2 linked regions of the Lytechinus pictus genome follow. The protein of the gene in region 2 purifies or fractionates together with the protein of the main gene of each other region. This does not show direct contact. Links are inferred from orthologs where the notes say so. Each region holds a gene or a part of one and is shown on either strand. Other genes may lie near its edges. The genes, in order: crk-like protein and enhancer of filamentation 1-like.

The links.
Region 1: the proteins of enhancer of filamentation 1-like (region 2) and crk-like protein purify together in Homo sapiens (affinity purification with western blotting; 4 studies listed by BioGRID). This does not show direct contact. The link is inferred for Lytechinus pictus from reciprocal best matches to the Homo sapiens genes NEDD9 and CRKL.

What each region holds. Positions count from the first base shown.
Region 1 is NC_087250.1:23,205,293-23,212,683, reverse strand, and holds the start of crk-like protein, read left to right. Parts: upstream 1-4,355; 5' UTR 4,356-4,702; coding exon 4,703-4,755; intron 4,756-7,391. UniProt on the Homo sapiens protein: May mediate the transduction of intracellular signals.
Region 2 is NC_087246.1:57,860,788-57,868,079, forward strand, and holds the start of enhancer of filamentation 1-like, read left to right. Parts: upstream 1-4,025; 5' UTR 4,026-4,048; coding exon 4,049-6,178; 3' UTR 6,179-7,292. UniProt on the Homo sapiens protein: Scaffolding protein which plays a central coordinating role for tyrosine-kinase-based signaling related to cell adhesion. As a focal adhesion protein, plays a role in embryonic fibroblast migration.

The sequences.
Region 1 (7,391 bases), on a different chromosome or scaffold from region 2:
GATGACATCATCAGTTCACGAAGACATGCCTCAGTCGAACTATTTCACCGGAATCATGCAAATCTTTAAAATGCCATAACTTTTTTATTCCTTGTCCGATTTTGATGAAATCTTTAGTGCTTTGTTTGTCCGATTTTTCTTTATCTGTTGATATCACACTATTTTCAGCCCGGAGCATCCCTTTAAGCCTCGCTCGTCGATGTTGAGCCATGACGAGGCAACGCAAAAATGTTATCGTCAAATTTTACAAAATAAAATCAACAAAATTACAGTATTTTGTTCTTGATAATACGGTGAACACTGTACGCTCAAAGATACGGTACACTACTCACTTTTAAACTGCCCCCATAAGGTCATCAATACACCACACTGTAAAAGCTGTGGCGTTAAAACCAGTTGGTGTTAATAGAGGACCACACCCTGGGGTGTTAAAATGACACCTTATAGATTGAACATAACACCATAGAGTGTTAATATAACAACCAAAGGTGTCGTATAACACCTATAGGTGTGTTAAACTATAACACTGTCAATTTACCACCGGTGTAAAATAACTGATGTGGTCCTCTATGTACACCTGCATGTTAACACCACAGTTTTTGCTGTGCAGATTCGGAGATGTTCCTCCACCAACCCTGACCAAGGGCAGGCCATTTTCTTCGACAGACGTATACGCCGTGACAGAAGCCAGCTTTGTGCACGGCACGAAACAGCGCGCAACATTTTTATTCAATGATGAATAATTTCAGATTTCTTTGGCGCGAAAATAGCGGTCACGTAACTCGTTTTATTCAATGTTTAATAACTTTTAGATTTTATCAATATATCGTTCGATATTTTTATTCAACATGTTCAACGCAAAGTTATAAAGCAACTACAGCTTTTTATACAACTTTCGCGATTTTTTAAAATACAATTCTAATTCAACTCATGCAATTTTTATAGATATACCGCGTTTCGTGTGTTTATGGGTGCATAATTATGTTTAAAGGTCCATCCCAGAAAAAACTTTGATTTTAATAAATTGAGAAAAATAAAACAAGCATTATGCTGAAAATTTCATCAAAATCGGATATAAAATAAGAAAGTTATGACATTTAAAACTTCGTTTATTTTTCACAAAACAGTGATATGCACAACTTAATGACATGCAAATGAGACAGTCGATGATATCCCTCACTCATTTTTTCTTTTGTTTTTCATTGTTTGAATTATATAATATTTCATTTTTTACAGATTTGACAATAAGTACCAACTTGATTGAACCATATAGTATCAAACAATGCTAATTCCACACGTTCTGGGAGGAATTAATCTTCTTTTCACAGGACAACAGGGAGAAAATTTGAATATTTCACATTTCATATAATAAAATACAAAAGAATTCGTGAGTAAGTGATGTCATCAGTCCCCTCATTTGCATATCGACAAGATGTGAATATAACACTGTTTCGCGAAATTAAGCGAAACTTTAAAATGTCATAATTTCCTTATTTTACAACCGATTTTGATGAAACTTTCAGTGTTATGTTTGTTGGATTTTTCTCTTTTTATTTAAATCAACTTTTTTGTTGGGGTGGACTTGTCCTTTAAGAATAAGTAACCCCTTATTGAAAATGGAACTTTTTTCAAAACTGTCTTAAGCAATGTAATTTGGCAATACCTATGGGCAGAAAAGATCTATGCAAAAATCCATTTGTATATTTATGGAAGAGTGAGCACGCATCGAGGGGGAATGGCATTTTCAATGACACAGACTCTTTTGATGGGTTATTAAGTGAATAATGGGGGCAAATTCTGTTTCAAATGTGACTTAATCACTGTTGTTTTTATCATCCATCATTTTTATCACCACACACTTCCCGAACTTTTTACAGGCATGGTTGAGTGAGCACACTTGAAAACTTGGGAATGAATGCTCTTTATAATGCATAAATGCATGCTTTTCCTAACAATTTCTCAGGATCAGTTGAATTTATGGACTAATGGTGGATCCAGATTTCTTAAATGGGGAGGGGACCGAGAAATAGGGGGGGGGGGGCACTAACATTTTACAATTTTAATTTGAAAGTTATATAGAGGATACTACCGTAAACCCCTATGATGATACGGCACAAAAAATGATGTTCCCTCAACCATGAACATACGTTATCAAAATTGTGTGTGGATTGGCTATAATTATGATGGATAGTAAAACAGCATCAGCACCATAAAATTCACCAAAAAACGAATTCCGCCCAACTTTGTATTTACACGATCTGAAAAAAGGATTCTTGTAACTTTCGAAAATTGTCATTTTTAGTTCAATCTTTGATTACTCATGCATGACTCAACCGATCAATCTGATTTTATTAATAAAACCAATTATCTATCTATCTATATCTATCTATCTCATTTTCCCACAGGAATTTCTGAATGATGGTGATAATATTACCTACGAAATATTTTATCTCAAAATTATTTCAAACGTTACAGCAATTTTATTTAGGGGACTTACTTTTTTGTTTGTGTATATACACAGACAAATCTACGCAATTATCATCTATATAGAGTGTTTTAGCGATACATTAAGGACGTTCCACAGTTGAAAATGAAACCCATGTCATTTTCATGAAATTTTGCACACTTGAGTTATTTTAGCACCTAAATATTCAAAAAATGCAAAAAATAACATGAGTTCATGTACTTGTTTTTTTTTGCTATCGAGCTTTGAACTTCACCCAAGCATTTGTAAGGTCTCGAGAAATACACAATAATAATAATTTGGGTTTCTAAACCCCATGACATCACAACGTTGAGTGTAAACCTCTATTAATCAGTCAAAATCTATCTAAATGTCACCAAATTTTACATTATAGTTCAGAATTATTTACTTAAGATGAAAAATCCACTCATATTGCTATTCATGGTTGCTCTTTAAAGAGAAGTAACACCTTTAATTGAAAAAAAGAAACATACATACAAATTAGAAATTTATATAACAAATTTACAGAGTATACAATAAATGCTGCATTTTATTTAAAACCCATGTCCTTTTTACAAAATTTTGCATGGTTTTTTGGCAAAGGTATACAAAAGAGGTGCCGGAACATTAAAAATTTGGGGTTCATGTGCCTGTTTTCAAAATACATGTATCAACACTTTTGTTTCGCAAAATAACGTGAGTTTAAAAACACACGCGCCAAAAGGCTTGTATCTTCATAAGGGAAAATTCTACACCACTATTCCATTTGATGAAACTCGAGGTAATATTCGTCATACTTTGCAGCACTGCAGAGGAAAGTCTTCTGAAGACTAGAGGCGTTTAAAAAAATTGGTCCATATACTATTTACAGCTTAGAGCTTCGTAAAATAACATATCAAGATTTGCTGTTAGAGTGCAGATGCTTGGATAGATGATAATAATCATATTGGATGGCTTTAGTACTTGGAATACCAGAAATATTCTGCGATTCGTGGAATATTTGCCGAAACTCTTGGAATATACTCTTTCGGAGCCATCCAATATAACATAAGTGTTTTATAGCTTTCCAATTTTCTCTGCACCAGTATCTTTAGTCTCTTCCCCCTTCTCTCTCTCTTAGGTGATCCCTCCACTGTTTTGGAGATTCTAAGATACGAATAGAACAAATCCCAGTCCGGTAAATTACAGATTCAGCATCAAGTTGGAGCGGTAGTCATGAATTTTATGTAGAAAAAAAGAGGGATTTAAGGAGCAGACTATAATTAACTTCTGAAGGGAGACCAGGTTGATGGGTTAATAGGGTAGCACAGGAAAATTGGTGTGGATCCTCAGCAGTATACAAGTCTAGGTAATGTGGATGGTGCAGTGAGACACTCCTCGACTCTGTGTATGAAGTCTTGGCGTAGGTGATCAAGAGAGGAGCACGATCCGACAAAGTGTTCTACTGTCTCATCATATGAGGCACAAAGGGGGCAAGTACGGGTGGAGGACTTTCCTAATGTGTGGAGGCGATACTGAGTAAGATACGTGGAAGAAAGTAATTGGGCTCTGACAATGAGTGCATAACGGATGACAGGGGAATGTGTGGTCTTCGGATAAAGGAGATTGTTGGAGGATGGGATGTGATCAATCCAGAACTTGAGAGTTGACTTCGCACGGATGCCCTGTGCAACGAGATCATTGACGGCAATGTAGATCTTGTTTAACCAGTTTCTTAAAGGTGGAGTAAGGAAGTGGTTTCGAGATATTGCTGTGAAGATCAGGAAGGTCGTATTTATTATTATTATTTTTTTTTACAATCGGTCCTTGGTTATATTTTTAGGTTTTTCCCAAAAACATATCCCACGAAGTGATGTGTATAACGCCCTCTATTTTACCCATGAAACCCGTCACGTCATAGACGGCCGTGCTATTTTGGCTAAGTGGCCTGTATTGAAGTTTGACAGAAATAACACACACAGTTTCTATTGGACTTCTCGAACTTCCTGGAACTAATGGCTAAATAGCGTTTGTGTACATGTACGTGTGTGTGAATGGACTGTCAGGGACTTCTGCGAGTCAAGATTTTCATCGTCGGTTTTTCATCACGATTTCGGCATCGATGAAGACTCTTCTCGAATTTGACAGGAAGGGGTTTTATTGATCAACGGGATAATTTGATTCTTTGGAGGTGTATTTTGGTCGAACTTTTCAGGAAACCATCTCAATCGGACGATAAGTGAAGAGGGTTCGTCAATTATGGCGTCCCAAGACGATCTCAAAACCCCGTATGATGATAACAATAAACATTTGTAAGTTGATAATTTGATGATACGAGTGAAAATCGTTTGTATGCGATGACACAATCGAATTTGATTATTTGATCTGTCATGTCATTAAAGTCATAAGAGCATTTCGTTTATCGGAAAGATGACTCGTTTGAGTAGTGTTGAGCAGGAAATTCGCTCACACCCAAAATAGCAAATCTTGTGTGTAGTCCCACACTATCAAAATTGTGTCAGTCCTCAGGCTTAGCTATTTACAGTAGGCCTAGAGTTAACTTGTTTTTTGTCAAATTGACATGGTCTTCGATTATTAAGGATTTATCTGGAAGCCAGGGGTATGCCAGTATGTAATCTTTGCTGTTAAAGTGTTGCTTTGATTTGCTTAGTTGTTACTGTTACTGTTAATAGGCTGCATGACGCACATTCCGAGTGTAGAAAAAGTGTGTGACTGCGTCTGCGAGTAGGCAGGACAACAAAGTTTAGAAAGCTCTCTTTCTTGTGATGGGTCAAAATGCGCACTAAAGCTGCGCTAACGAAAGCGGGAAATTTAACTACGATCAACATATATTTTCGACACTTAACAGTGCACCGCTGATCGTGTGTGTTCGGTAATCAAGTTTTCAGACATAAATCATGTTGCTGTTTAAATTTGAAAATCGACATTAAACACACCCTTATCAGGATTAATTTCCCAGAAAGTAGGATGGGGGGTCGGGTGTCCGGACACTTTATAATATATTTTTGAAGCCTTTTTTGTCTTTGGATTACACTAAAAATACGAAATCAATAGTTGTACAAATCATCTTCTATTTTGTTCTCTATAATATTTCCTGACATTTTGTACTAAAAATTGATAAAACTTCCCTTGTAAATTTTTCCAAATGACTTTCTAAAATTGATCGTCCGGACACACAACAACTGGGTATACTGTGCACTGGAAGCGGCTGCCAGGGCTACACATGTAAAAGATCATCAATTTTTTAAAGTAAATTCAGCCGTATGTATGGCAAGTTCCCCCAAGTCTGCGCAGTCCCCCTTGTCTGCGCACACGCGTATCTGCGCGATTCTAGTAAAAGAAGATACGCAATGAGCACGAACTTACACATGCAATACATAGACAGGTATTTGTAAAAAAATCCGACTCAAAATGGTGGAAAAATAATAAATTTAGGGCATTTCATGTGACGGCCTCAAAATGCAGCCTTTCTCATCAAAATCCCCGAATCGTGTGCAAAGTGAATGAGTGTGCAGACATGGGGTACCATTTGTTTTTTCAATCTGAAAATGACTGCCCGAGGTTTTTCCAAGAAAATCCTATATTTTCTTTCATTTTTTAATGAGAAATTTTGTACACTTACTCTTAATAATATAAGGAACATTATTAACTGAAAAATTTTGTGAAATAAGAAGAAATTCATGTTAAATCTTAACTCAAATTGTTAGGTGCGCAGACTTGGGGCCCACCATCATACACTTAAAGAGACATGTAGATCTAGAGGCCTACACAAAATAAGAATACCTCTGTTTTCAATTTTACAAGTAGAGTAAAACTGGGTTGGTACTCGGCCAAGAGTCGGTGTGTGGCTGTTCAGCAATACACCACTGAAATCACCAACTCACTCTAGACATGTACACCACACATTTACTCACTCACTCCCACACTACAAAATCATCCGGCGACATGGACAAAATTTTGAATAAAAAGTGAAATTTTCGCATAAAATATCACACTTGGTAGGGGAGATCGGGGTTAGTTGTCCCACACTTTTGACAAAATGGCTGTTAGTTGGAACATTTTTGACAAAATGGCTGTAAAATCCAAATAGATTTTATTTGAGAAACAACATATCAGCTTGAAGCATATATCTAAGGGCTTCAAATGTACGCCATAAAATGTTCAACTCTATGTTTACTGAAAAAGTCCACCTTGAACAAGACTATCACAAGCGTTCCAACTTTGGCGTAAATATTCATATCTGAATGACACGCGCCTCAAAACCCAAGATAACAACAACAACAACAACTTACCCCATATACGGGGTAAGTTGGAACATGGTATGGTGTAAGTTGGAACACTGCATGGTCAATTAAGAATTATACTAAAACTACTTACAAATGTAATATTACATGGTTTTAGCCTATTTGCGTTATTTTTTTCAAGTTCAAAATATTAAAAGTGGCTTTGTTGAACTTTATGTTTTCTAGTATACATAGCCACTCATGCAAGCCTACTGTGTAGTAGAATTCCGCTTATTTGTGTGTGTTTGATTTTACATGCAAATGATGCAATTAAGTGTACTATCAGCAATTTCATGTACTTCTGCATCAAATTTACATGACAACAATTAATTGTTTATATTTTTTAATTAATTAATTATGCAAATAAGCAAATTAAATTTGCCCTAAATTTTTTTTTTAATGTTTTTGCCTTTAACTCTATTTATTAAGCTAGTAGAATGCTAATTTTTGGTGAGAGTATCAATATTTTTTCCGCAAAAAATATAATTTCTTATGTATTTTTTGTTTTTAAAATTTGTATTTCTTTGTTTTTTTTAACCTTTGTTTTTTATTGTTTTTGCCGATGAACTTTGTCAGGGACTCTTGCGATCATAGCATAAAATAAATCCATTTGAACCAACAAAAGTAAAAATAGTCATACATTA
Region 2 (7,292 bases):
GTATAAATTCTTAAATCAAATTCAAATGAATATAATATATATTAGACACAAAAAGGATAAAAACAAATTAATCTGATGATTTAAAATATCTTGGGAATTTTTCAATTCAAGTTTAGGCCTAATGAAAAAATTAGATAATCGTAAAACACTTGTTTGTTTTATATGTGTCCTTGGAGTATATGTAACTGGAAGTTAGTCAGGGGACCCTACTCGTTGAATATGTTTCAGATGTTTATCTTGACTAAAGTATTCAATTAGAATTCAGGTATTACACCAGAAATTCATTATAATTACCACCTCCTGTTGCTTCAATATTTATATTATGTTAAGTTGAAGAAGGGGGAAATGTGTTTAAATGTATGTAACATGCATAAGACTGTTATTCTTTTTCTAATTCCCATAGGACCATCTACGTTAATTATATATAGGTAACCATATTATGACATACATTTTGGTGCTGAATAATTATCCTTCCCGAGTCCAGGACGGATGGTGTCTGTGGACCATGACTTTGTTTTGCTCTTTCCCCATTGGGTAGGCAGCCGCTGATCACCATGTTAATAACTGAAGCATGAGAGGTTCAGAGAGGCCGACTCTGACTCTCAATCTGGGCCGCGGAAATCACATAGTGCTCCTCAATCCACTCTACCTGTGCATGAACTCTCCTGGATCTCGAAAACAACATCACGCTCATCAGTTTGGAATACTAGTATATGGAGGTGAACTTGCGTGAACCTCAAATATCAACATTGTTCTCATCAATTTATTTGGAATATGTGTATATGAATAGAGTTGGACCTCAAAATACATTAGTGTACATCACTGTACTCATATTTGAGTGATATCATGGCAGGAGAGAAAAGAGAACAGAAAAACTGAGAAAAGAGAGGGGAGGTGGTATATATGAAAAGGGGTTTAGATACCGAAAATGCAGGATTGGTTTTTGGAGAGGCTGTTGAAAATCTAGTCCACTCTGTGCATATACACAGCAAAACACTCCAAATATTTGGTTTTCACACACATCTAGTTGATATTACAACACCTTTAGTTGTTACTCTTTCACTCTTTGGTGTTATCTTCCATCTCCAGGATGTTATTTCGACACCTCAAGGTGTGGCCCTCTAGTCTAGTGACACCATATGGTATCAATTTGAATGCCCTAGTTTTTACAGTGCATTTGCTCAACCAGTCAGATAATTAAAAAAAATATAATACTGGAGAGGTAATTTAAGAAAGGAGAAGGAGAAAAGGGAATTAAAAAAAAAAGCTTGGAGGAAAGTATACAGAAAAGAGGATAAAGATAATTATAAAGAAAGAAAGAATATGAAAATAGACAGTAAAGAAAGGGAGAAAAATCACTTGAAATTCTTTATATCCTCTTAGCTCTCAATGTTGTAATTGGCATTAATTATGACATTATAAAACATGAAGAAAAAATGATTGTATTCTATCTGGACCCCACTATTGGTCATCGATTCAGATCGATCACGACTTTGAGGTGATCACTCAATGCATTCGATCTCAAAGCTGCAAGTCTGTGTAATTAACATGATCTCTTGAAGAAAATAACAAGACAGCAACACTTGTGTGTACATATCATTTGCATGTATAACATTCCTAAGATGACAGACATAGGTTGAGATTCCTTCCGTCAACAATTGTTAGTGTGTAAATGATGTTAACACAGATCCTAGAAAACACAGGAGCTACAGGCACTTAACCCATTACCTACTGAAACCATGCGTGTCTGGTGCTGAAGCTACATGTATGAGAATGGCAGAATTCATTTTTTAACAGGGTAAATCATCAAACTGTATAATTTTGTTTGAAGGAAGGAACATGTAAATTTACTATTGTTAAATCTACAGTTGATATTCACCATTCATAGTTAAATTGAAATATTGTATAATTCAAACACTAAAAGAACAAAAGAAATGGTGAGTGAGTGACATCATTGACTCTCTCATTTGCCTTCACCGAGCTGGGCATATAAGTGTTTTGTGAAAAATAAGCAAAATATTAAAATCTCATAATTTTCTTATTTCATATCTGATTTTGATGAAATTTCAGCATTCTGCTTGTTTGATTTTTTTTAATTGATTCAAATCAACTTTTTTCCTGGGTGGACTTGACCTTTATAAGCAAAGACTGTATTTCAGAGAACTGAAATAATTTAGGAATATCAATCTCTTTCATTGGCATATGGTGTCTTGTGAGATAAATGGATGTTTCATTTCATCTTGAGGGTTCAGTCACGTGTGTCTAATGTTGAGACCAGAATTGACCCAATTATGAAAATGATGCATGGGTCAAAGGGCGATCCCCGTCCCCTACATATGACATATTTGTACCGCATAGAGAGAGTTCTTCATTAATCGCTGTAAGATTACATGAATGGAATTTGGACTGTGGTTACGTGCATGAGCAAGAATTACAAGTTGCAATACTAATTGTTAGTTGAAATTTGAAAGCTGATGGCACTTTATTGTGCGGTTATTGATTACAAGATATGTCTTCTATTGGAAGGAAGACTGATATATCAGACATTGTGAGGGGGTGGGTGGGGGGGATTGAAACCAGGAAAAACAGACAGACACACAAATATATACAAATACCATCGCAGACTTGAAGATATAGATTGAATACTTTCAGGCTCAATATTTGAAAGTGAAGGCAAATAGACATGTGGTGGAAGGAAGGAAATTATGAAGGCGATGAAGTGCCAAAGAAGAAAATACCTGGAAATTGTTGTACCTGAAAAACGTGAGGCAGGCAATCACTTCTAGTTAGGTCCAGCAATAAAAATGCACTTTGTGAGAGGGAGCGTGGGATTTACACATTCACATCTCAAATCCCCACAGCCAATAAAACTGCTCTCCTTAAAAATGGAGTTTGGCCAGTCGTGCAGAGAATGTAAGCATGGATGGATGGTGCGTTCAGGCTCGAGAAAAGAAACGATCCTGAAATGTCTGAGATCAGGGGCCCGTTTCATAAAGAGTTACATGTACTGTAACTTTGCCATATTGTAACCACTTTGGAAGCCTTGATTGTGATTGGCTGTTGAGCCCTGTTACTGGTAAATACTATAATGGCAAAATTGCATTAGTCGTTATGAAATGGGGCCCAATCGGGAGGTGTTAAATAAAGTGTGTTAACAAAACATCTTGTACTAGAGATTTGAGTACACTTATTTTATCAATTTATCCATCATCTCCTCTCTGTCTTTCTAATTAAAATTCTATATTTTCTATCTGTATATCTAGCTACCTATATGTATGTATGTATCTATCTATCTATCTATCTGTCTGTCTGTCTATCAATCAATTGCATGCAAAGCTTGCGCTTAATCTACGCTCAAGTGATCAAGCGCAACTTTTTCTTGCAACAGGATTGAACGTAACTTGCGTTCAATTGCAGATTTGCATTTAATTGGAGGACTTATGCTCAATTTTGGGAGTTATGCTCGATTTGCATTCAATTGCAAGTTTCTTGCAATGCCCCATGAGTATCATTCTAGCTTTGGGGGAAATGGATGGAAATGCTCACAAAGTTACATCTCAAGTAGATGTGAACTTGTTTTTGCTTGTGTTTATTGACCTTGTTGCAGGGTGTAGGGAAGGCTTCCACTTGATCACCCAGGCATACATCTAATACACAGCCGTGATGTACCTCGTGATTTACATTGTATTGATGAAAATAGGGACAGAATATATACAAGTCTGCCTATGGAGTTAATGTAGAATTATTAGAGGCATGTGAGGTGAAACCTAAAGTCCTCCCATTTTTGTTTTGTATACATGTATCCAAAATGATTGTTTTGTAAAACTTGTCAATTTCAATCATAGCATCAGTTTGTTAAGTTTGTTGGGATTAAATACAGATGCAGATCTCTTGCTAAGTATGAAATGTTGTAAAAAAACCACCTACATCAAGACTGAAATTTTGTATCCAATTGTTCCTGAAATATGTGTTGATATTTACACCTTTTTTTTTGCTCTTCATTTTCTTTTTCCATATGCAGAATGTTTCAAGCTCGTCAGGTGGATACATGTCTTTGCAAGCAAACACAGGTCTTTCATCCACAGAGGACTATGACATCCCACCTGCCCGTAAACAAGCTCCCAATGCCAGCTCCCTGGCATCGCCCCAGCAGAAACAAGGGTTGCATGTATCACCCACGCACCATGGACGGACGACGCCACCAGGACATGAACTCTACGACACACCTCCAAGCGTGCAGAGAATCTCCCCAAATGAAACCTACGATGTGCCACCAAGGGCTTTTGGAAGCGGTGAATCGTTGAACTCAAAGAGCGGACAGAGCTCTCCAAAGCAGGAGAATATCGGTGAGATTTATGACACTCCCCCTTGCAAGCGAGATGTGCCTGGTCAGAACACTTCAACTCAGGATGTGTACGATATCCCACCATCTTCCCAAAAGATGAAGGATGAAAAGTTTCCATCAATGAGCACTCTTGACTCTGTTGATACCTATGACATACCGCCATCGCAACAAGGTGATAATGACGTATATGATGTGATTCCTCCGCTTAAAGGTGGCCCTTCCCCTGTAGAACTATACGATACCCTACCACAAAGAACTCCTACACCACAGCGGGTGTATGAAACACAACTGCAAAAGGACACTAGTGATTTGTATGATGTGCCTCCAAATAAGCAGGTTCAACCTGATGAATTATATGATACACCTGCAAGACATGGACATGAACTCTATGATCAACCTCCTGTTGCACGTGGTCTAAGACCACAACCAGGTAGCACACAGAGGCGCATCTCTGATCACGTTTATGACATTCCTCCAACAGTAACACAGGACAGGCCAGTAGTAGGGCCTGTCACGCTTTCACAGCACCATCGCTCTGCAGACGACATTACAGATGGAGTCGCTAAACTGTCTCTCCCGCAATTATCAAAATCAGCGGACTGCATAGATGAAACTCTAGGGAGGAGGTTAAATCTTGACCGTGATGCCGCCATGGACCTTCTTATTAAGCGGCAACAAGCTCTTGACTCTGCAGTAGCATACATGCTCAGTTATGTCAGTAGTACCTGGAGGCATCAGAACTATCTTGAACCTCATATTCATGAAATCAGAGCAGCATGCAATCAGCTCAAATTAATATTTAAAGAGTTCATGGAATTCTGTGATGGTGTCCTGGTGAATGCTCTTTATGTTTCTGATCAGAACCTCCATGAAAAACTTAGCAAGCAGTATAAGCCTATTCAGGATGAGCACCAAGTCTTGACTAAAGCGTCAGCAATGCTGGATGAACTCAATTGGGATGTGAACACACTTATGTACAAACCTGGTTCAAGTCCAAGTAATGAACTGGACACTTTTGCCGTCACAGCCAGGGGGCTTCCAGATGATGTTAAGAGGTTTGTGGTATTTGTCCAGGGTAACTCATCACTGCTCTTCAAAAGAGCAGGAATCATCCAGAACAGACCCTTGCCAACACCGCCTCCAAACTCTGCAGGAATGTCCAGCAACTGGATGGCTGCAGAAAAGGAGACCCTTGTGACTACAGCACCCATCCAAGCCACCAGGGAAACTATCCGCAACAGGCCTCTACCGCTAGTGCCGAGTGCCACTGTTGCTCCTCAACAGCAGATCCATGCCCAAACTAATGGAAACCACATCATGCCTGAAAATGGTAAGATGCCAGATTATGGCTATGTCCAGAAACCCCAGTCGATCAACAACAGGCAGATAATTATCACAACAGATCAACCTCCAGTGTCACCACCGCTCTCTCCAGGAGATCAGCAGCTCCTGACCTTCTACTACACCGAGGTGGAGACTCTCTTCACTGCCTTGCATAATGCCATTGATCTTTTCTTCTCCTGCATCGATGGCAATCAGCCGCCAAAGGTGTTTGTTGCTCACAGCAAGCACATCATCCTCTTGGGTCATAAGCTGGTGTTCGTTGGCGACACACTCCACCACAACTTGCACAACCTTGAGGTGAAGAATCGCATCATCCACCACAGTGACTCCCTCTGTGACTGCCTCAATGTCAGTGTCAATGCCACCAAGAATGCAGCTCTCCAGTTCCCTGCAGTACAACCTCTGCAGGAAATGGTTGACAGGATCACGGACGTTGCATCCGCCAGCAGAGACCTCAAGGAAATCATTTTGTTCAACACTCCTGCATGATGACAGTAGGATTCTCAAAGATAAATGGTGAAATTCTCTTTTAGCTACAGATGCAGTTCTGTCTCAACAAAGTGTGTGGATAACAATGATAGAACAAAAAGGTCTGTGTGAAATGTGTGAAATAAGCATACTAATGCTTTCATCTTTCACTCATCAGGTTTGTAGAAAAAACAAATCTTTTCAATGGCTGTATGATAAAAAATCAATTGCATTATACAGATGCATATACATGAAGGTTTATTTGCTGCAGCGACACAACACGACATTTGTAAGGTTTGTCTTGTTTATGAATGTTTGTGTATGATTAAATCAGTTCGTCTACAGTAATACATGAACTAAATTAGCAGTCGGTATAATCAGTCATTGTATAATACAGGGCCTGCATCCAATATCTTTCAATGGTGAAAGTTGGAATTTCAGTGGAAGTTGAAAAGACAAAATGATATCAATGTTCTTCATTGGAAGACATTTTTCATCAGTTCCTCCTAAGCCCATGGTTATAGTTGCATTCATAACAGATGTAAGTTAGGTCGGCTCTGATTACAACATTTTGTAATCATTTTCACGTGTCTGTGAAAGCCAAACTTAAAAGACAAACTCACAAAACCAACATTAATTTTTGTGTAAAATGGTAGGTTAACAGTAGATCAATATATCATGTAGATATGCTTGATGCTAATGAACAAGCAGGTGTTTGATTTGAAGTCCAAAAGGTATCACTATGATGAAAGACTACTGTAATTTGTGATATTCTCTTTTTAATGCATGTTTTATGTGACAAACTGAATTACAAGCTTGGTAATGTCTGTCGATTCTCTACCCATAGCACAAATTGATATTCAATCACATATGGTAATTATAGTAATTTTGAATTTGTTGTCATCAAGTTCATGTTAATACTTTACATAATGTAGTAGTTTTTCAATACATGAGTATTATATCTCTTTTTAAAATCTAAAATGTATCTATAGACAATAACAATAAGCTGTGCTGGTCACAATTTTGCTATTTCTCTATTATGATAATACACTAATATTCCTTATTTTTAAATGAATGTGTAATTGGAATGTTTTTCACTATTGCATTGATTTTGGTGCTGCTTGTCAATTTCTTT